3 linked regions of the Lytechinus pictus genome follow. The protein of the gene in region 2 purifies or fractionates together with the protein of the main gene of each other region. This does not show direct contact. Links are inferred from orthologs where the notes say so. Each region holds a gene or a part of one and is shown on either strand. Other genes may lie near its edges.

Region 1 (7,434 bases), on a different chromosome or scaffold from region 2:
CTTGTTTTTATAAGGAAAAGAAAAATCAGATAAGTTGATAGGTGAAAGTTTGAACAATATTGGACAAACAACAAGAAAGTTATGAATTTTTAAAAGTTGTAAATATTGGTAATCACTATACCCATGGAAACTTCAAATTGGCTGCATATGGGATGTTATAGTGATGTATGGCAAGGACTACTCTTCCATGTACTCCAATACATATTTTGGCTAAAGTGTCATTTTCCCCCAAAGTTTTATTTCAAATTATGTTTTTCTTTCATGAGGACATAAAACAATATACTACCTGGGTTATGTTTAGATTACTTCCCCAGGGGAATGGGTACTTAAGAGAAAATCACAAATCCCTGATAATAAAGTACATGGCCTATGGGAAAGTTGTCCTTGCCCCTTGTCATAATTAACTTACCCAGTTGCCAATTGGAAATCTACATAGTATTAGTGATCTCAATTTTAAAGCAGCTATAACTTTTTTATTGCTTGTCCGATTTCTTTCAAACTTTCACCATTCTGTTTAATTTATTTTTCTCCTTCCAAACACAAAATTTTATGGCCAAGGCTGGATTCCCCTTTAATGAAACTACTTCACTCTCTCTCTAAATTTATATATATAAATTTTGCTTCACTTTTGAAAACAAGGTTCAAAATCACAATAAATTCAAGAGACGGTTCCTCTTCATTTTAATTCATAAAACATAGAAAGCTTCGCCTGGGAGCGGGAAACTCCCTCTCCCTGCACCCACCCCCTAGGGAGCGCACTTCGCGCACTCTGTGTTAGCACGCCTCAAAAATGAAATCCTGGCTACGCCTACGCCAAGGCTCCACATTAACTTTTTTTGGTGGTGGCCCGTTCGGGCCACCAAAACCATCAAATAATTTTTTTTGGTGGCCCGATATTAAAGTTTGGTGGCCCGAAAAATATAAAGAAACACATTAAAAATTAATAAAACAAACTTCTGAAATATTAATTCTGCAGCCACTACCACTAAGTTACTTTCACTTTATCATCTTGTATGTAAACCTTGTTTGCTGTTTTTGCTAATTGGCTTGTGGTAAAATATAAATTGTTTCTATCGTTGTAAAAATTAGAACAATGCATAAAAGGGGGAAACAAATGAAAATAATTTTCAAAAAGTATATTACAAAAAGAAAACAAAAATAATAAAAGAAATAAGTGAAATAAAACAAAAGAAAGAAAATGAAGAAAGGAAAAACAAAGAACAGGGAAAAAAAAGAAAAGAAAATTTAGAGAAAAAAAAGTGAAAGAAAAATGAATAAAACAAAATTAATATAAAAATGGGGAAAAGGGGAAAATTAAGAAGCCATTACGAATATTTTTTAACAGCTGTGGCAACAGTCTATTCTGACTGGAATATAATTAAAAGCCAAGCAAATAATTTTCACTTACCTTCTGGAAATGGCACATTTCTATTTTTATATCCTTTAGTTTGTATTATTTTATTTTCAGTAGAAACATATTTTTTAATCAGGTATATTCAATAGGAAGGGGTATAAATGGTTTAACCAAGTGCTGTAAAAAAATGAAAGAAAAAAAATAAGAAGAAAACGGCAATAGTTATATCTGGAAAAAAAGTGAGAGAAAAGTCCTTCCCTATATTTGCCAAAATGTTGAAAAAATTCACATTTCATATCAATGAAATGCCTTCCCAAAGTATCTCAAGAGTGGTTTAAGAAGTCATTTATAAACAAGAAAGAAAGAAACTGTCTGTTTATTTTTGGCTAGAAAAGACACAGCTTCGAAAGAAACCAAGTATCAACATACATACAAATGCACATGTGGGACTGTGATGTACATGCCTATGTGTTTTTATGTGTATTAATTCATTTGGAAATCGGTCTTTTGTAGTCAAAAGAGAGGTCATAATTCCTCTTCTTAATGCTTGCAAATAATCAGGGTACACCAAATTTTCGTAATATAGACTGTAGAATGTCATTTCATTGGTGTAAAATGTGACTTTGACTCAGATTTTCAAAGTTCTGTGGAAGATTTCTAAGCAGCAACATTTTTTATCGCAGCTCCCAGAGTGTGAATAGGCTGAGCTAGATCTAGAGCATGCACAGCTGTATGCAGTGGCTTCATGCAAAGCTAGCTCACGCCAGCAGCCGGCCGGTGCGGCTGGCTGGATAATAGCTACTGTATGCTATAACTGTAGGCCTAATATGCAAACTGTGTGTGTGTATTTGTGTGTAGATCAACAAAAAGGGCGCATGACGAACTGGGTTGCAATTTGAACTGTAGAAAGTTGATAAATGCGTGCAAAATCGGGAGAAAAATTGCGCTACTTTTGAAAATTATTGGTTGCCCGATTCGGGCCACCAAAACTTAACATTTTATCAATAATGGTTGCCCGATGTGAATTTCTGGTGGCCCCGGGCCACCGGGCCACCGCTAATGTCGAGCCTTGCCTACGCTACGCAGTTGGTCTGTGTACGAGTCATAAAATTACGTTAAAAACTCCTAGAAACTGATGCCATGGCTGCCAGCTGTCTACCTCGATAGATGTTGTCCTAACCTCGCATGACTGTGATCATAACTTCAACATAAGCTCTTTGATTTGAAAGTTTGAATAAGTACAGAGTCAGGGCAGTGGCAGTCTCTCACAAAAACTATATAATATATTGACATGTAAAAAAATTAGATACGGTACACAAATACAAAAATAGATATGTGGGACCCTTGCCTTGTAAAAAAAAATATACCAGCACCAAACACACATTGTTTTCTTTCTAGATTCTTAGTATCTTACCGCTTCCACGTCATAATATTTTCTCAAATTTGATCTCCTGAACCTCTCATCTGTATTATGTTCATGTATTGCACGGAGTAATGGGTTGCGAATTCGATGAGAAGCCATAATAAATTCGTCTTCAGTCAGTCTCGGAAGTTAGTCGCTTGACTCTATCATGATCAACTAGCTAGCTAGACCGATCAGCTGCGCTGCATCCCGCCCCGGCCCCCCGGCCGCGCCCCGGTCCCGCGGCCAGGTGATGTGAGGCTAGCTAAGCGGCGAGGCCGGTGCATGCAAGGATGCAAGGCAGTTTGATTGGATTGGATTGGTTCGGTTTGGTTTGGGTTGGGCCCGGGCGGGGGCCCGGGTTGGGTTAATTGGGTTGGTGGCAGGCGCGGATCCAGGGGGGGGGGGGGGGGCACAGGGGGCACGTGCCCCCCTTTTGAGAAGAAAAATTAAAATTTGTAATGTAAAAATGCCATTGAAACCGAGATGTGCCCCCTCTTTTGAAATTGAAGACCTTTTTTTTTTTTTTGCTTGTCAAATTTTTTTCGGGTACGAAATATCCTTAATTTGTGGTTGAAAACCCTTTTTGGGGGGGCTTGTCAAAATTTTCCTCCGAAAAAATTGCCCCCCCCCCTCCCTTTAGGAAAATCCTGGATCCGCCCCTGGTTGATGGGTGGGTTTGTTGAACATTCATTGGAAAAATAGCGGGAAAAATAGTAACAAAATATTGCCGGTTTGAGAAAAATCCATGAAAGGATGAAAAAATAAATAGAATTTGAATTATAGGCCTATGATCTGTGACGTCATATGCGAGCAGCTTTCCTACATATCGTATGGTAAAAACTCAATCAAATGTGATTTTCTCAGAAAATTGAAAATGGTATTCACTGTACCTTCAGTACACTGGCGGATCGATCCAGGGGGCACCAGCCGGCCCGTGCCCCCCTTGACAGGCACAATTAAAATTTGGAATGTAAATATGGCGTTAGAACAAGATATTGCTCAGGTTCGGATCAACGGGTGGGGGGGGGGGGTGGGCGGCAAGAGGTCTTGGCACAAGAGAAATCTACCCCCCCCCTCCAAAAAAAAGAGATACAAACCTTAGTCATTTGAGAGTGATGACAAACTTCTTTTTTGTCTTTTTGATTGTCAATTTTTTTTTTGCATATCAAAAAAAAAAAAGATAAAAAGATAAATCACATATCCAACAAACTGCTTAAAAAGTTCCTTTTTTTAAGTTGTCTGCCTATTGTTAAAAAAAAAACAATGTGTAAAAAATGTCCGTTCTTAAGGTTGCGCTTTGCGCCTTTGCATAAATTTAATTACTGGTATAGCCTTCATTACCCCCTTCATGACTTTTCTTTATGCATGTATGTCAAACAATGCTTCAATTCCTTTCAAGATTAGTCAGGTATATGTAGGCCCATTTATAAATTTCAGCTCGCGCTTCGCGCTCAAATTATAAACAAATAACGGATACCGTTACTATTATAAAGGTGCTCAAAATCTATAGTTTTCAGGTATGAACATCAACAATAATCAGCTCACACTTCATAATGCTCGCGTTATTTGTTTAGTAAGAGATATGGCGTGTTCATGATTAAGGAAGTAAGTGTTTAGGCTATAATGCATTGTTTTTAGGTCGCGCTTCGCGCGCGCATCTTTAAATGGTGAAACACGTATCATGTTACTGAATTCATACCAAGAGTCCTTAAAAAGCCCCCCCCCCCTTCCCGGCTCAAGGTCGGAGTGACGCCTATGCATGGTCCCTCTTGATAACCAATAAGTGCATATTGCAATATGCCTATCATGCATCATCATCGTCATCACCATCATCATACCGCCATTATCATTATCCTGATTATCATTTTCATATAATTAATATCATTGTTATCATCATCATCACCATCATTATACTGTATGCATGGTAAGGTTTCAATAAAACTTATTCATAACGCACAGCAAGATCGGCAGTGATATTGAATTTAATAATTAATATACCAATAAGTAACACAGAAATGTCAAATATTTCAAGCATAATGGCAAGTATTCTGAAGTCCAGTTTAATTTATGGTCTAACTGTGTTAAAAAAATGGGAAGCCGAAAATATATGCTTTTTACGTTTATTATCCCCCTAATTCCCAGACAGTTATGAATTGACTTTGTGTAGAATGAGCTAATTAATTGCGCCTACAATGTTACGATTTTTTTGTAACATCTGACTCCCATAGCTTACCAGAGAGTGTTTCAACAACATTTTCGTCCGACAAGTCAGATCTGACAACTCTTCTTGAATGTGGTTGGCTGAGAAGCACCATTACCATGGTAACTGTCAGATAAAACAGGACTTGTCGGATAAAATGTCCCACAAGAGCTTTCAAGTTACGCTCCCAAGAGTCCATAGAGTTCAGAATTTAAGGGTTTTGTCTTTGCATAAATCAAATTACTTAACAATAACTAATTTTAATTGCTTTTTAAACAGAAAAGTCACACAGAAATGTCGTATATATAATATTTTTTTGCATACTTCGAAAACTTCTTTTTTGTATACAACTATAGCTTGCGAGGAATTTGAAAAGATAGTCCACAAACTTTAATGGCTCATCATTATAACATGATATTGAATGTAACATAACATGTAAAATATTGAACTTGGCAGTGAAAAGGCAAATTGAAATGCTGTAAATTTTTTTTCTTTGAATGAATCAATAGTTTATGTTAAATCCATCATTTTTCATATCTTTCGGAATGATTATTATAACATTTACTGAAAATCATACTGCATATGTTCTTTGATAAGAATACTTATTCATAAAATCTTAGAATTTCTTTATTATCCCATGAATATAGTGAATAAAAACAAAAACAAAATACGTCTTAAATTAAAATAACAAGTTATGCGCCTGCGCACTGAAAACACTATTATAAATACATCATCAATCGAAATTATAAATACAATATTTCTATTACTATTTATCCGGTAAAAAATTGTTAATCAGGGGTATTTCATCAATATTTTTCGTCCGAAAATGTTTTAGATCCGATGAGCGCTTCATTAACATTTTCACCCGACAAGTTATCAGGTCTGACAACTTTCCTTGATTATGATTGGCTAAGAGACAATGTTACCATAGTAACTGTCGGATAAATCACTACTTGTCGGATAAACGTCTGAAACGCTCGCCAGACCTCTTTTGTTGATTTTGATTGGCTGAGAAGCATTGTTACTATGGTAACTGTTGGGGACTTGACGGATAAAAATTAATGTTAAAACGTCTCACAAGTCATTTTATGAACGCTCCCCAGGTAATCCATTTGCTTCTGCAAACTCATCATTAGTCTGCTACCATTCCCTGCTTGACAATTATTATCGTGTAACCGTTTATAGACAGATGAATTAGTACGACTTCATATACTGTATATCCAGCAAGACCAGCATAATTATATGTCTGCAAATCTTTTTAAATATTGATGGTCCAAATGTTTTGCTCGGAAAGATTTTGCTTTTGTGAAACTTCACTCTTCATCGATGTTTTTTAACGAGTCTTTTCCAGAGTGGAATTTGGCGGCGATCCATTTGTTTCTTAAAGGAAGTGATATGTTCGAGAACAAAGGAAAGGTCCGGTCTTGACTGTGGATTCCTCTTCATGCATTTGATGGCTAAGGATGTTAGATCTTTCAGAAGTGGACATCTTTCTGCATGGTTGTGGAGGAGAAGAATTTAAAGTAAAACGGACACAATCAGGAAAAAGGTAACTGAGTAAGGAAATCTTCATTAATCCGGGCATTATTCAAACCAATTTTTTTTTTTATAGAAGTCTTTTATCTTTGCTTTCAAAGGAAATACATTCCAGTTATGCCATCAAAGCGGTTATCGCTTCTGCTGGTTGGACAATGGCGTAACCCGACTATTCAAGAAAATTGGCCCCAAACCGGTCCGAGACTCCGAGCAGTGCATGGGGATGATAGCAACTAATATATTGACCTGAAAATTCATAATTTTGGGGACAAAACCTCCTGCCCTACCCCATTTTTATTTTTATTTGGCAAATTGCTTGGCAGAAAATATGTACACCACTGTCCCCACCCCTCCTTTAGCCAATCCTTGATATACGCCCCTGTCCCCTATATATTCTATATACTCCTCTGATAAATTACACGAGGAATCTTGCAAATTACCTTCTACAACTTTTGTGATGTCTTCAAGGATTTTGCCAACTGAGAATACATCCGATGAAATCGATGTTGACTGTCCATGTAGAACGACCTCGGGGGCTACGTAATCACCCTCCTCTCCGTGAATGTATGCTACTTTCAATTCTTCAGGAAGCTCCGTCATCTGTAACGGCGACGAGATCGTACTGACCATACCGAAGTCAATGATGACGGCGTGGTAACTATGACCTCTTTTCTCGAGAAGGACATTATCGGTCTTGAGGTCGTTGTGCAGGAGCCCTTGGTCGTGAAGCTCCATCATTCCTCGCACGACGTCCTCTGCGATGTCGAGGCCGTTTGTAACAGACAAAGACGGAGGCTCGAGGAGAGAGAAGGAGGTCCCCGACTTTTGATTTCCAACAAATTCTATTGCCAAGCAGGGGTCGTTGTCGAGATCGAGCGTGCCTAAAAAGCTCGGAAAGTACTGACTGTCGGATAGAAGTTGGTGAACAATTGCCTCTTT
Region 2 (7,716 bases):
TATATTTCAGGAGCAATCTTCCAATTGTATTTTATAAAGAGGACTTTTAGTTGAAATTAGTACTCCTCAATATACGAAAAAACATAGAGTATATAGGGGTGTGGGCTACTAAAACTAAAGCACTAGCCCGTTGTTTTTATTTACAAATTGAAAGAAGGGAACCCCCCCGACACACACCCAAAATATATTTCAGGAGCAATCTTCCAATTGTATTTTAGAAAGAGGACTTTTAGTTGAAATTTACTCCTCAATATACGAAAAAACATAGAGTATATAGGGGTGTGGGCTACTAAAACTAAAGCACTAGCCCGTTGTTTTTATTTACAAATTGAAAGAAGGGAAACCCCCCTACACACACCCAAAATATATTTCAGGAGCAATCTTCCAATTGTATTTTATAAAGAGGACTTTTAGTTGAAATTAGTACTCCTCAATATACGAAAAAACATAGAGTATATAGGGGTGTGGGCTACTAAAACTAAAGCACTAGCCCGTTGTTTTTATTTACAAATTGAAAGAAGGGAACCCCCCCGACACACACCCAAAATATATTTCAGGAGCAATCTTCCAATTGTATTTTAGAAAGAGGACTTTTAGTTGAAATTTACTCCTCAATATACGAAAAAACATAGAGTATATAGGGGTGTGGGCTACTAAAACTAAAGCACTAGCCCGTTGTTTTTATTTACAAATTGAAAGAAGGGAAACCCCCCTACACACACCCAAAATATATTTCAGGAGCAATCTTCCAATTGTATTTTATAAAGAGGACTTTTAGTTGAAATTAGTACTCCTCAATATACGAAAAAACATAGAGTATATAGGGGTGTGGGCTACTAAAACTAAAGCACTAGCCCGTTGTTTTTATTTACAAATTGAAAGAAGGGAACCCCCCCGACACACACCCAAAATATATTTCAGGAGCAATCTTCCAATTGTATTTTAGAAAGAGGACTTTTAGTTGAAATTTACTCCTCAATATACGAAAAAACATAGAGTATATAGGGGTGTGGGCTACTAAAACTAAAGCACTAGCCCGTTGTTTTTATTTACAAATTGAAAGAAGGGAAACCCCCCTACACACACCCAAAATATATTTCAGGAGCAATCTTCCAATTGTATTTTATAAAGAGGACTTTTAGTTGAAATTAGTACTCCTCAATATACGAAAAAACATAGAGTATATAGGGGTGTGGGCTACTAAAACTAAAGCACTAGCCCGTTGTTTTTATTTACAAATTGAAAGAAGGGAACCCCCCCGACACACACCCAAAATATATTTCAGGAGCAATCTTCCAATTGTATTTTAGAAAGAGGACTTTTAGTTGAAATTTACTCCTCAATATACGAAAAAACATAGAGTATATAGGGGTGTGGGCTACTAAAACTAAAGCACTAGCCCGTTGTTTTTATTTACAAATTGAAAGAAGGGAAACCCCCCTACACACACCCAAAATATATTTCAGGAGCAATCTTCCAATTGTATTTTATAAAGAGGACTTTTAGTTGAAATTAGTACTCCTCAATATACGAAAAAACATAGAGTATATAGGGGTGTGGGCTACTAAAACTAAAGCACTAGCCCGTTGTTTTTATTTACAAATTGAAAGAAGGGAACCCCCCCGACACACACCCAAAATATATTTCAGGAGCAATCTTCCAATTGTATTTTAGAAAGAGGACTTTTAGTTGAAATTTACTCCTCAATATACGAAAAAACATAGAGTATATAGGGGTGTGGGCTACTAAAACTAAAGCACTAGCCCGTTGTTTTTATTTACAAATTGAAAGAAGGGAAACCCCCCTACACACACCCAAAATATATTTCAGGAGCAATCTTCCAATTGTATTTTATAAAGAGGACTTTTAGTTGAAATTAGTACTCCTCAATATACGAAAAAACATAGAGTATATAGGGGTGTGGGCTACTAAAACTAAAGCACTAGCCCGTTGTTTTTATTTACAAATTGAAAGAAGGGAACCCCCCCGACACACACCCAAAATATATTTCAGGAGCAATCTTCCAATTGTATTTTAGAAAGAGGACTTTTAGTTGAAATTTACTCCTCAATATACGAAAAAACATAGAGTATATAGGGGTGTGGGCTACTAAAACTAAAGCACTAGCCCGTTGTTTTTATTTACAAATTGAAAGAAGGGAAACCCCCCTACACACACCCAAAATATATTTCAGGAGCAATCTTCCAATTGTATTTTATAAAGAGGACTTTTAGTTGAAATTAGTACTCCTCAATATACGAAAAAACATAGAGTATATAGGGGTGTGGGCTACTAAAACTAAAGCACTAGCCCGTTGTTTTTATTTACAAATTGAAAGAAGGGAACCCCCCCGACACACACCCAAAATATATTTCAGGAGCAATCTTCCAATTGTATTTTAGAAAGAGGACTTTTAGTTGAAATTTACTCCTCAATATACGAAAAAACATAGAGTATATAGGGGTGTGGGCTACTAAAACTAAAGCACTAGCCCGTTGTTTTTATTTACAAATTGAAAGAAGGGAAACCCCCCTACACACACCCAAAATATATTTCAGGAGCAATCTTCCAATTGTATTTTATAAAGAGGACTTTTAGTTGAAATTAGTACTCCTCAATATACGAAAAAACATAGAGTATATAGGGGTGTGGGCTACTAAAACTAAAGCACTAGCCCGTTGTTTTTATTTACAAATTGAAAGAAGGGAACCCCCCCGACACACACCCAAAATATATTTCAGGAGCAATCTTCCAATTGTATTTTAGAAAGAGGACTTTTAGTTGAAATTTACTCCTCAATATACGAAAAAACATAGAGTATATAGGGGTGTGGGCTACTAAAACTAAAGCACTAGCCCGTTGTTTTTATTTACAAATTGAAAGAAGGGAAACCCCCCTACACACACCCAAAATATATTTCAGGAGCAATCTTCCAATTGTATTTTATAAAGAGGACTTTTAGTTGAAATTAGTACTCCTCAATATACGAAAAAACATAGAGTATATAGGGGTGTGGGCTACTAAAACTAAAGCACTAGCCCGTTGTTTTTATTTACAAATTGAAAGAAGGGAACCCCCCCGACACACACCCAAAATATATTTCAGGAGCAATCTTCCAATTGTATTTTAGAAAGAGGACTTTTAGTTGAAATTTACTCCTCAATATACGAAAAAACATAGAGTATATAGGGGTGTGGGCTACTAAAACTAAAGCACTAGCCCGTTGTTTTTATTTACAAATTGAAAGAAGGGAAACCCCCCTACACACACCCAAAATATATTTCAGGAGCAATCTTCCAATTGTATTTTATAAAGAGGACTTTTAGTTGAAATTAGTACTCCTCAATATACGAAAAAACATAGAGTATATAGGGGTGTGGGCTACTAAAACTAAAGCACTAGCCCGTTGTTTTTATTTACAAATTGAAAGAAGGGAACCCCCCCGACACACACCCAAAATATATTTCAGGAGCAATCTTCCAATTGTATTTTAGAAAGAGGACTTTTAGTTGAAATTTACTCCTCAATATACGAAAAAACATAGAGTATATAGGGGTGTGGGCTACTAAAACTAAAGCACTAGCCCGTTGTTTTTATTTACAAATTGAAAGAAGGGAAACCCCCCTACACACACCCAAAATATATTTCAGGAGCAATCTTCCAATTGTATTTTATAAAGAGGACTTTTAGTTGAAATTAGTACTCCTCAATATACGAAAAAACATAGAGTATATAGGGGTGTGGGCTACTAAAACTAAAGCACTAGCCCGTTGTTTTTATTTACAAATTGAAAGAAGGGAACCCCCCCGACACACACCCAAAATATATTTCAGGAGCAATCTTCCAATTGTATTTTAGAAAGAGGACTTTTAGTTGAAATTTACTCCTCAATATACGAAAAAACATAGAGTATATAGGGGTGTGGGCTACTAAAACTAAAGCACTAGCCCGTTGTTTTTATTTACAAATTGAAAGAAGGGAAACCCCCCTACACACACCCAAAATATATTTCAGGAGCAATCTTCCAATTGTATTTTATAAAGAGGACTTTTAGTTGAAATTAGTACTCCTCAATATACGAAAAAACATAGAGTATATAGGGGTGTGGGCTACTAAAACTAAAGCACTAGCCCGTTGTTTTTATTTACAAATTGAAAGAAGGGAACCCCCCCGACACACACCCAAAATATATTTCAGGAGCAATCTTCCAATTGTATTTTAGAAAGAGGACTTTTAGTTGAAATTTACTCCTCAATATACGAAAAAACATAGAGTATATAGGGGTGTGGGCTACTAAAACTAAAGCACTAGCCCGTTGTTTTTATTTACAAATTGAAAGAAGGGAAACCCCCCTACACACACCCAAAATATATTTCAGGAGCAATCTTCCAATTGTATTTTATAAAGAGGAGATTCATCACCTCAAACAGCAAAATAGCCCTAATCCTTCCGCCTGTCAAAATATAGTCCAAAATTGGTGATATTTCTTCCCAATTTGGGAAAAGGAAGTTCAGTAATTACCAAAAATAGAATCAGTGTTAGATGGAAAATCATATGCATACACTTTGTCAATCAGCCATATCAAAATTAAAAAAAAATAGCAATGGGTTGGCTCGAATGAATATCTATGGCCTGCCACTAGAGAACAGGCCCGTGTAGCACTGACCCCGTTTGTTTGATTTTGTACAAGAATGCACGCTTCTCTTCGTGCGCAAAATCCTGTATCTGATCTATCTAATATATCGCGATATTGTTGGCTGGAACTGTTGGCTGGCTTGCTGTTGGCTGGCTTATTGTTGGCTCACTTGACATAGGCTTGCATGCATGCAGTGAATTACATTACGTGGCCGTATTATCAATCCACTAGTAAGTTAGGTCTCAAGGCGTCAATTTTCTGAAACTCCTTTGAAACATGAGAAGTATACAATTGCAAGAATTTAAGGCAGGTAAGACAAGAGTGAATCATTTTCCAGTTTGCAAAATAGGGTCTTTTTTTCCTAAGACCTAACTCCTAAGTTTTGCTTGCAGCTAGCCTAGGCCCAAGCTTCGCCCTCGCCTCGGTCCCATATGCCCATTTTCATGGCATGTTCGCCAGTTTCTGACAAGCACCGGTAGGCGGTAACTCTGACCTCTGTGGACGATCATTTTGTCGAACACTTGTTATAATTTCAATCATATATTAAACGCGATATTTTTTTATTATTCCTGCATCAAACTTCCACCATTGATACGCAAATACCAACAAGAATAAAATTGAAAGATGTGATTTTTTGCCGAGATCAGTTTTCTTTCTGAAATTAATTCTGAGTCTGAACTTGGTCTTGAACACTCCTAGTACCAATGAGGTCCAACATTACATGTATGGACCTCATAGGCGACATCAGTAGTATTTTTGGTTAGAAATCTCTGAGAACAGGATATTTAGGCAATTATATCACAAGTACAAGCTATATTCCTTTCTCTTATTTAAATTATAATTTTATAGTGTAAATGCATCGTTAGCAACAACAAAAAATGAAAGAAATGAAGGGGAACTTACATTTTCACGGCTTTTTCCTGATTTTCTGGGCAGCTGCTCTTCTCTTCTGACTCGCGATCGAAGCTGATATGAAGATCACGTGATTCGCGTTCTCGTCAGCTGATCGGTTGGTTATTCTTTTCGTCAGACGTTAATAATATATATTTTATAATGCTAGCATTCATCGCTAATTTAGGTGAAAGAGATTGAAGTTAAACAGCGCCAGGTCGGAATCATAATTATTTTGGAAGAGTGTATTTATACACTCGATCTCATACCTGACGTAGACGGCGCTATTCAACAAATGCACAATCTTCAATATAAAAAATAAAACAGAAAGAACGCCTTGAACACAGGCCAAAATGCCTAACGATTTATCCGCGGCATTAACAACTATCGTAAAGGGCGCTCCATTTATCAATAAAGATGGACGCTAAGCTGTCTATGGCGACAAAATTTGCCGCAAATATTTACGAAGAATTGTGAGAAATGGTCTGAAAATGCAACAAAAGAACCGGTGAGTACCGAATAAACATTATTAAAGTTTTAAATAGATTATACATACCTTGTAATTGTAGATTTAGTTTTTAAGGTGATATTAGTGCTTAGTTCTAAGCTAGGGAGGCCCATACGCGCGTGAGTGGAGTCCCAGTTTATTAGCACGGGTAAGTATTGGGGTGTCGCCTAGAGTGGTCTTGAAGTTGAAGTTAAGTTAAAATAAATTCTTTGCCAAACTTGCGATAACACTTGCAGTGCACTAAACTAAAGACTTAAGACAAGTTATCACTCAGCTTCTGATCTCATCCCTCAAGTATTTTGGTCAGTTGAAAATGTTTGGTAGGCCTATTAAAGGTGTGTTTTTAATTTTTTTTTTTTTTGAGGGGGCAAGGGGAGCCGGGAGTTGGAAAATTCACGTCTTAGACTTATTTAGACTATTGCTGTTTTGACTTTGAGCAACTCGTTTTTTTTTTGTACAAATTGTAGAACATACCGTACCGTAATAAGATGTAATGTGTTTCGGGCGCTGATGGAGTTTTTCACTGGCCGACTTCGAGAGAATTTACCCACCTGTATTATTGTTAAAAAATGTCATACACTCACATTCCACAATCAATGTGCCCACCGCACGGTTTTCTGAATATTACAATTGGGAACGGCTGTTATTCAGTTGGATCTTGAAGTCGTTGTCGAATTTTCATTCAGATGTCACTTCGCTTGGTAATGTTTAGCTTCATCGTAGGTTTGATATAGACTGAAGTTAATGACCAAAAGATCTTCCTGTGGCAGCTGACCCCTTTGTTCACCACATGTTCGCATGATTTTTGGTCGCTAAATTCAATCCACAAATAAATTCCCGGTACAGCGAATCCAAGCGAAGCAATGTCTAAGAATTTGAATGATGCTGTCCAGATCGAAGCCCAAATACAGCCGTTCCCGACCGCGATATTAAAAAAAGTGGTGGGAGATTTACCTTGAAATGTGATCGAGAGACTTGTGAACAATACTAGTGAAATTTTAAAGTTGGCTGGTGCGAAACTGCATTCGCCAAATTTTGTATGCTATCATGAATTAAGTGTGTTTTGTACTTTAAGATTCTGGCTCTATTTTATTAATTTAAGAAAAATGATTGATCCTACCTCGTTTGTCTCATACCTCTCTCCTCAGATATTGGAATGGAAAATATAAAAATTACCTAATCCTACAAGATCTTGTTAAGAACATTAAGAACAACACAGATGTTCCTTCAAGCCTGTACTAGTTTTCTAACACATCAGTGATAATACATGTTAGTAGGTGATCAGCTTTCAAGATGATGGGTTCTACTAGCAATCTAGGGCGAGTCCACCATGAGAGGTATGTCATTTCATTGTCCAAGTTTGGTTTTCTTTTTTCTCTCTTTTTTTCAGTTTAGATTTTAAAGTACAATAAAGCTTTGCATATATATATTTTAAATATTCCTTCAATAATATGTTTGCCCTGTTTTACCTTGACTTTCTTACGTTTTTCTTTATAGGACTATAACTATGGCACATAAAAGTGAATAGAAAGGGCTTGACCGATTTTGGATGACTGAAATTTTATCCCTTGTAATGCACATGACGTACAGTGTACTGTATCATTTGTGCAGCAAAGATAATTGTTGGATTAAGGAATTGAATGATTATTGATTCATGTTGATGATTTAAAATGAAATGAAT
Region 3 (7,162 bases), on a different chromosome or scaffold from region 2:
ACCGGGAAATTTTTGGCTCTTGCCCCCCCTGGCCACCGACCCCTGTTACGCCGCTGAACGGAGCCAGGAATTCCTTCCCATTCATCTCTGTGTACCGCCAAAAAACTGAAAATTTCACCCCCGAGATTTCTACTTCAAAAAGATCTAGCCCTGGCTAAATCATGTAAATGGGATTCAACTTCATTTCAGACATTTCTACGCTATGGATTTCATTTGTAAACAAGAATTCATTAAAAAAACAAGAAAATGTTATTAAAAGACGGGGGAAACTTGCCACCGTGTTTACGTCGCCATCTTGATTTCATTGCCTTTCGCTTGCGATAAACCTTATGGCATGAATGGGAACCAGTCTGTATAGTCAGTATGGTACTGATAGTGGATCGTATTACTGAACACTTTTCATGAATTCATAATCATCTAACACATTTTTCTCATGAAATTCACCAAACAGAAACTTTCACCATAAATACACAATCGGACCCCTCTTTGCATGTGAAATATTTTGGTCACTTGATTCTTGAAAAAGGTATCGTATTACCGAACATGTGTTTTCTATGGGAAAAGTTGAGAAATCAACAAAATCACTGATTGAGCTATTTTGACCATATTTGATTATTTTTAGAATATTAAGACTTTGAAAATGTGTTTTGGACCGTTTTCATCATCTTTCTCTTCAAGTTCCCTTTTGAAGGATGTTGCAAAGTTTTGAGCGTATGATGAAATTATTTTCTGACGCGTACGATGCGCGCGTTCGGTAATACAAGGCCGGTTGGTAATACAATCACTTACAATACTAGGACGTAGCTAGCCAGGCCAGGAGGCTCCTAAGTATTCACTGACGTGCTTAATCTCCATGGAGCCAGGGATTCAGCTAAGACAGCATTCACCTTCCACACGGTCATTTTTCCCATGGCCATGCCATGGATAGACTTGTCTCTAGCAACAAACTATCAAATCTTTACTTTTCTAGCCCTAACTTATGTAAATGGGCTACAAGTATATACCCCCTGTACCCCCTGCAAGCACTAACAGACAGCAAGTTGTGAAAAATAAACAGTGAACTGGGGGGAATTGAGGTCACTGAATCTATTTTTTGCACTCTCAATCCCCGTAATTGCCGTCTATATCCCGCAGGGGTAAGTGAAAAAAAAAACGTCCCCATAAACAAGGACAATCTCAGTTTATCAAGACATGATTAATCTTGGTTTATGCAGGCCTCTACAAAAAAAGAATCATCACTTGCCCTGTCGGGCAAGTGATAAAAAAATTTGCTTGCCCGATAGAAAAAACTGCTTGCCCGATTTTTTTTCAAAAATTCTTTTGCTCTTAATTATTCTTTTCTGTCCTGGCTGAACTTGATTTACTGGCGCTGCCTTTGGCATTTCTTTTTCTTGACTCTTGTTCAAGTTGTTCTGGTCGCCGATCACGAAGACAAAAGTCGCCTATTTTAGTCTGACGACTCATTGTTTATTTGGTTTGAAGTTGAAGCCGAGTCCTGGCCAGGGTGACAAGATTTCACAAAATGAAATACAGGGCAATCAACAAAAAAAAAAGATCAAGAAAGAAGGCTACACAGTGTTAGACTTGTGAAAAAAAATATTCAGAATTGGAAGGGAGGGTGAACAAAAGAATGAAGGATAGAAAGAAAAGAGATGAATTGAGAAGTAAGAAAGAAAAAATGAAGGGGAAAATGAAGGAAATATAAGAAAGTTCTAATAAAAGAAGGATGAGAGAGAGAATAAAAATAGATAAAAAGGTTTCCGTCATTCTTTGAATTGAAGATAGAAAGAAAAAAAAGAAAAGAAGGGAAGATGAATAAATGTGTGCAAGTCAAAATAAAGAAGAGAAAGACAAAAAGAAAGTAAGAAAAAAGGAGGAGGAAAGAAAATGTTTCCTTCATTCTTGGAAAGAAAGAAACAAAGCAAGAAGAAAACAGGAAGGAAGGAGGGAAAGAATGAAGGAAGAAAGGGAAAGAAAGTATAAGGGAAAATAATAAGGACAAAATGAAAGAAATAATGAAAGAAAAAAAGGAGGAAAGAGCGGGAGGAAAGAATGAAGGTAGGCCAGAATGAAAAAAAGAAGAAAATAATGGAAGGAGAGAAAGAACGAAAATAAAAACGAGTGGAAGGGAGAAGGAATGAAGGAAATAAAAAAAAAGGTAATGTAATAAAGAAGGCAAGTAAGAGAAAGAAGGAAAGAAAGAAAATGGACAGAGAGAGAGAGAAAGGATCAGGAAATAAAAATAGATATGTAACAAAAAAGGGCAAGAAGGAAGGATAGAAGGATAGAAAAGAAAGAAAGAGGAAAAAGTTCAAACTTCAAGCAAATAAAAACAATCCAATCATATAACCAAAATCCTAAAATGATATTTGATGTTTTTTTATATATTTAAAAAAAAATAAAAAAATAAAATGTTTTAGAAATGAATAAAATACGGGACGTCTGGTCACCCTGGTCCTGGCTGAGTCAGTCCGAAGCTTGCATGCATTCAGCATGATCTAGCTCGAGAGTCGACTGGCTCGCGATCGCTTGTGTACGTCCGTACATGTACTGTAGCGCTGATGTATTAGAGCATGTGCTCAGAGGGCGAGAGAGGAGTTTCCCCAGCTAGCTCCTTCGTCGATTAGTAGCGCATGCGCACAGTGTAGTTTAGAAAGTAAAATGGCTGCCCCCATCGGCATCGAACGGGACCGCTGGCGATAAAATGTCGGTAAATTGGCGCTGATTTGACATGTTTCCACTGTTTTTTTACTGGTATGACATTGTATGAGAGATAATTGCAATTTATAAAAAAATTATTAAACTTTACTGTCAATTTATCTTTTTCATTTTCAAAACAGGCACTTGCCCGATCGGGCAATTGACTTTGAAAAATGCTTGCCCGCACGTCAATTTCTCTTGCCCCGGGCAAGCGGGTTTGTCGCGCCCTGGTTTATGAAGATATCCGTGTTTTCTGTGACAATCCCAATTTTTTACCTGCGCCTCTACTAAAAGTCCAATGTCTGGATGTCCAACACATATCGACCACTTCTTTTGAAACCGGCCACCTTGTCCTTGCGCGCATGAAGTCAGATGATTGCGTATAACAATCACTATGCGCTGGAGAGTAGGAACAATATTACGATAAGAATCAATTTTACAAGAGAAAAAGAGGGATAATAAGGTAAGAAAATTGTAGAAATTATCAAAATAATATTGACCAGACCCGAACCCCACTGCCAAATAGCTGTTAATACCGGAAATCCAAAAGGAAACTGCTTTTGAACAAATAATCCGTCGTCGGTGGTCGAATCCTGTGTCGGAGCTTGCGATGGAAGTAGCAAGACAATCAACCAGCATGATGACATCATAGAACTGACTTGGAAGAGTCAAAATATTTCGCCAGCGCGACAAGAATCGGCGGTAAATTTAGTGCATGGCGGGTGGTCGGTCCTAAAAAAGGGGTGCAAATGAGAATATTTGAAATCATCGCATTTGTTGATCGCTGATATCTACGTGCATAGAATCTGAGTCGTCTAATCATGGGATTCTGATCTGCTCAATTTTCTGCACAAATGAGATAAAAACAGGGTAAAGCTGATGAGTTGAGATGCATCTTTTTACTTGCACTATAGTTTAGTTTTGTTCAACTGCACCAAATGTCATACTGTCTTTTTGTGATTGCGGCCTCAGCCAAGTACGACTATACTCTGTAAAGAGGACTGTACTCAACAGAAGAAGAATATTTTTGCAGATATGATGCTTAGAAAATTAGGGTAGGTCGGTCCAACCATACAACTCTATGGAAAATTCTCCATATATTGTACATGCTGGTTCCCAATAAAATGTAAAGAAAGGTACTAGATAGAGATGATTCTGAAGAAATAAATCTTCTTTTTTTTTACAAAATAAATCTAACCAGTAGATTTGCTTTACTATACTCTCTGTTGAACTTTTTAACCAGCAACAAATTGAAAATAGAAAAGTCTCATTTTTTTCTACAAAATTTTATTTTGAAAAAAGAGAAGTAACAAACAGATTTTATTGTTATTAATTTGCATCATTCATTCACAGGGAGTGGCAGCAATTTTATTCATGGAACAATTCAGCCATTCTCCAGACCTCAGCATGGGATGATCTCAAGGATTATGACAGAGTTAAGATCACTCGTGAAGGAACATAAAGTAAGTGCTACCAGCGTCCTCCCCTAAACTTCAGTGTAGATGATCTGTGGGGGTATTGCCCCACCCAAACTGGACTGTTGATCCCAAACCCATAAGAAAAAGGGATATCAGACCATGTGATATACATCCTATAATTGAATTTGATTGACGATGCATGTTTCATTCTATAGACTTTCTGTTGCCTTGGCACCAGATGACACAATAATCTTCATTCTACTAGTCTTTGCCTTTTCACACATGAATGATCAATATAAATAATTTTGACAGCTGTGACACTTAGTCTTTTGTTGCCATATTTCCAACAAGAAAATAAATGATCTCAATATTAAACCTCAAGTGCTTGAATATTTCTTATTGATTGCAACAAGAAATAAATATGCTTCTGATTGAAAATCAAGGTGCATGTGTTGTTTTTATGAAATATACTTGAAGACATATGTTACTGGTACATCTGTTTTCTTTCTTTCCTTAGGCCAAAAGAATCTTTATGCTAGGGTTAATAGGGGCATTGTGTATCATCATCATGCTCCTATGGTGCCAATCAACTAACAGTATAGGTAAGACAACACATACCCCTTTGAAAATCTATTATTCAGATTTAAATGGGACATAAGCAATGGTATACATAGAGTGCTTCCTCATGACTAAAATCACTTTGATTATTAGTAATTAACAAGTGACTAAAGCAGGATTATTAGAGGTACATGTATCAGTGAGAAGATGTGATTATTATGCTAACGCAAACAATGCAACAAAAAAAGGAGACTTTTACCTTCAAAATTGATTGGCTGGTGGGGGGGGGGAGAAGGTCCTCTGCATTTTCAATACTGTTTTTAACCCCTAAACCTGAATATGGCTGGAAGAGAGACGGAGATTATTATTCTCAAATGCGATAGTCATATTTTCAACATATGAAAAAGAGATTTAATGGGTTCTACACTCTTGTAAATTTAAATATTAAATGAAACTCTATATAATTTAAACTTTTATTCACCAAAGCTTTAGACGGGCTTAAATCAATTATTTTCTTTTGTATATATATTTTTTAGCTTTGACAGCATTCACCTATATTATATTGTTTGACGTTCTATCTCTTGGTGTTTGTCTCATCACCATCTGGGTCACCAAGCAAAAACCTTCAAGCATTTATACTTATGGGTAAGTCAATTTTTTCTTTTGCGTAAATGACTATGTAATCAAGCAAAAACCTTCAAGCATTTATACTTATGGGTAAGTCAATTTTTTCTTTTGCGTACATGACTATGTAATCAAGCAAAAACCTCCAAGCATTTATACTTAAACTATTGGGTAAGTCAAGTTTCCATTTGTGTGGAAGACTATCTATGTTAATCCAGCAAAATCTTTAAGCATTTGTACTTATGTGCAAGTCAACTTTCTCTTCGTGTGAATGACTGTCGATATTAATCAAGCAAAAACTTTAGCTTGTAAACTTGTGTTGGTTAATTTTACATTTCAGTGAATGACTATCTATGTTAATCTCAAACCTTCAAGCATTTAATGCTGATAGAGTTTGATTTGGATGATTATATTAAATGCAAAGAACAAATATGTAAATTATAATGCATTGAGTACATGTATGTGATAATGGATTGTGCTCCTCAATTCTATGTTTTTGTTTTGATAATGATAATAATAATATTCCGCATTTATATAGCGCTTAATACATCGGAACGACGTCTCTAAGCGCTTTACAGACATATTATTACCCCGGTCATCGGATCCTTGCATGCCCGCATACAATGTATGCACCTTCTCCACACCCTGGGGAGCATTCCAACAAGAGTTTCAAGACTCAATTGCTAGGCATACTACATATAGGCTTTCACATCCTACCGGGTACCCATTTAACACCTGGGTGGAGAGTGGCAAAGTGTGGATTAACGCCTTGCCAAAGGATGCTAGGCCATGGTGGGATCTGAACACATGACCCTCTGATTACAAGGCTAGATTTTAGGTTAATCACTATTTCTTTATTGCAGGTACGAACGATTTGAGGTCCTAGCAGTATTCTCAACAACAGTGCTTGCCATATTTGGTTCTATATTCATTATGAAAGAAAGGTAATGTTATACACAATGCTATCATAGTAATTCTTGTAAATTGAAATATAATTTCAATGCATGTGAAATTGCATACTGTACTAATTGGTAATATATTAATCATAGAGAAAATATATTTTGTGACCCATTACGGCCATAAACATAAATTTGTCTCAAGTGTCTTCCATCATATTTTCTTTGTGTCTTTGTGATAAAATTTTTATTTGTTAAAATTGATAATGATTTATACCTACATGTGAAATTGTTTACGTCAATGATTTATGTCAATCATTGTTTAAACATTTACACAAGGAATGAGCTCATTTAAAATTAAGTGATATTCATGAAATGCATTTTGATAGCCTATACCATATGATTTTACAATGAAGTTTATGAACATGTTTTTCTTATAAAGACTGGAATACTGTCGAGTACATTGAGTCTTTTAAAATTATTGCCTAGTTTTACAAACAATTTTATCCTTGATCTTAGGTCAGTAATATACTAGATAACTTTAACTGTAATTCAGAGCAGTAAAATGTATCAACCTAGATTCATTCTTATCATTCTCATTGCAGTACTGAGCGAATCATTCAGCCCCCAGAGATACACACTGGTAGGCTAATGTTAGGAGCCATCTTAGGTCTATTCAGTCATCTGGTCCTATTATACGGGTCTAGGAACCAAGCTTTTAGTCATGTTAGTACAGCATCTAAGAGCAGCTGGTTACAAGAACACTTTGCTGATATTTGCCAGAGGTGAGAAATATGTTGTTGAAAGGGTGGTAGGGTAGAAAGATTCAACGAATATAAACAGTGATGCTTTGCAATGTCAGTTATGATTATGAATCAATCATTTATATTATTGTGTAGTGAAATTCTTTATCAAACTCTCCTCTTGCTGGCTTGCAATTCTTTTTATTTTATTTAATGATGTTGT

What was found.
Region 1: the proteins of proton-coupled zinc antiporter SLC30A5-like (region 2) and protein-L-histidine N-pros-methyltransferase-like purify together in Homo sapiens (co-immunoprecipitation; 3 studies listed by BioGRID and IntAct, with this or other methods). This does not show direct contact. The link is inferred for Lytechinus pictus from reciprocal best matches to the Homo sapiens genes SLC30A5 and METTL9.
Region 3: the proteins of proton-coupled zinc antiporter SLC30A5-like (region 2) and zinc transporter 6-like purify together in Homo sapiens (co-immunoprecipitation; 5 studies listed by BioGRID and IntAct, with this or other methods). This does not show direct contact. The link is inferred for Lytechinus pictus from reciprocal best matches to the Homo sapiens genes SLC30A5 and SLC30A6.

What each region holds. Positions count from the first base shown.
Region 1 is NC_087246.1:64,750,559-64,757,992, reverse strand, and holds the start of protein-L-histidine N-pros-methyltransferase-like, read right to left. Parts: upstream 3,093-7,434; 5' UTR 2,877-3,092; coding exon 2,769-2,876; intron 1-2,768. Other genes in the region: serine/threonine-protein kinase 24-like, read right to left, coding at 6,280-6,452, 6,936-7,434. UniProt on the Homo sapiens protein: Protein-histidine N-methyltransferase that specifically catalyzes 1-methylhistidine (pros-methylhistidine) methylation of target proteins.
Region 2 is NC_087249.1:15,765,127-15,772,842, forward strand, and holds the start of proton-coupled zinc antiporter SLC30A5-like, read left to right. Parts: upstream 1-4,657; 5' UTR 4,658-4,946; intron 4,947-7,183; 5' UTR 7,184-7,328; coding exon 7,329-7,372; intron 7,373-7,716. UniProt on the Homo sapiens protein: Together with SLC30A6 forms a functional proton-coupled zinc ion antiporter mediating zinc entry into the lumen of organelles along the secretory pathway.
Region 3 is NC_087251.1:1,066,106-1,073,267, forward strand, and holds the start of zinc transporter 6-like, read left to right. Parts: upstream 1-4,057; 5' UTR 4,058-4,112; coding exon 4,113-4,163; intron 4,164-4,635; coding exon 4,636-4,720; intron 4,721-5,212; coding exon 5,213-5,321; intron 5,322-6,163; coding exon 6,164-6,244; intron 6,245-6,801; coding exon 6,802-6,981; intron 6,982-7,162. UniProt on the Homo sapiens protein: Has probably no intrinsic transporter activity but together with SLC30A5 forms a functional zinc ion:proton antiporter heterodimer, mediating zinc entry into the lumen of organelles along the secretory pathway.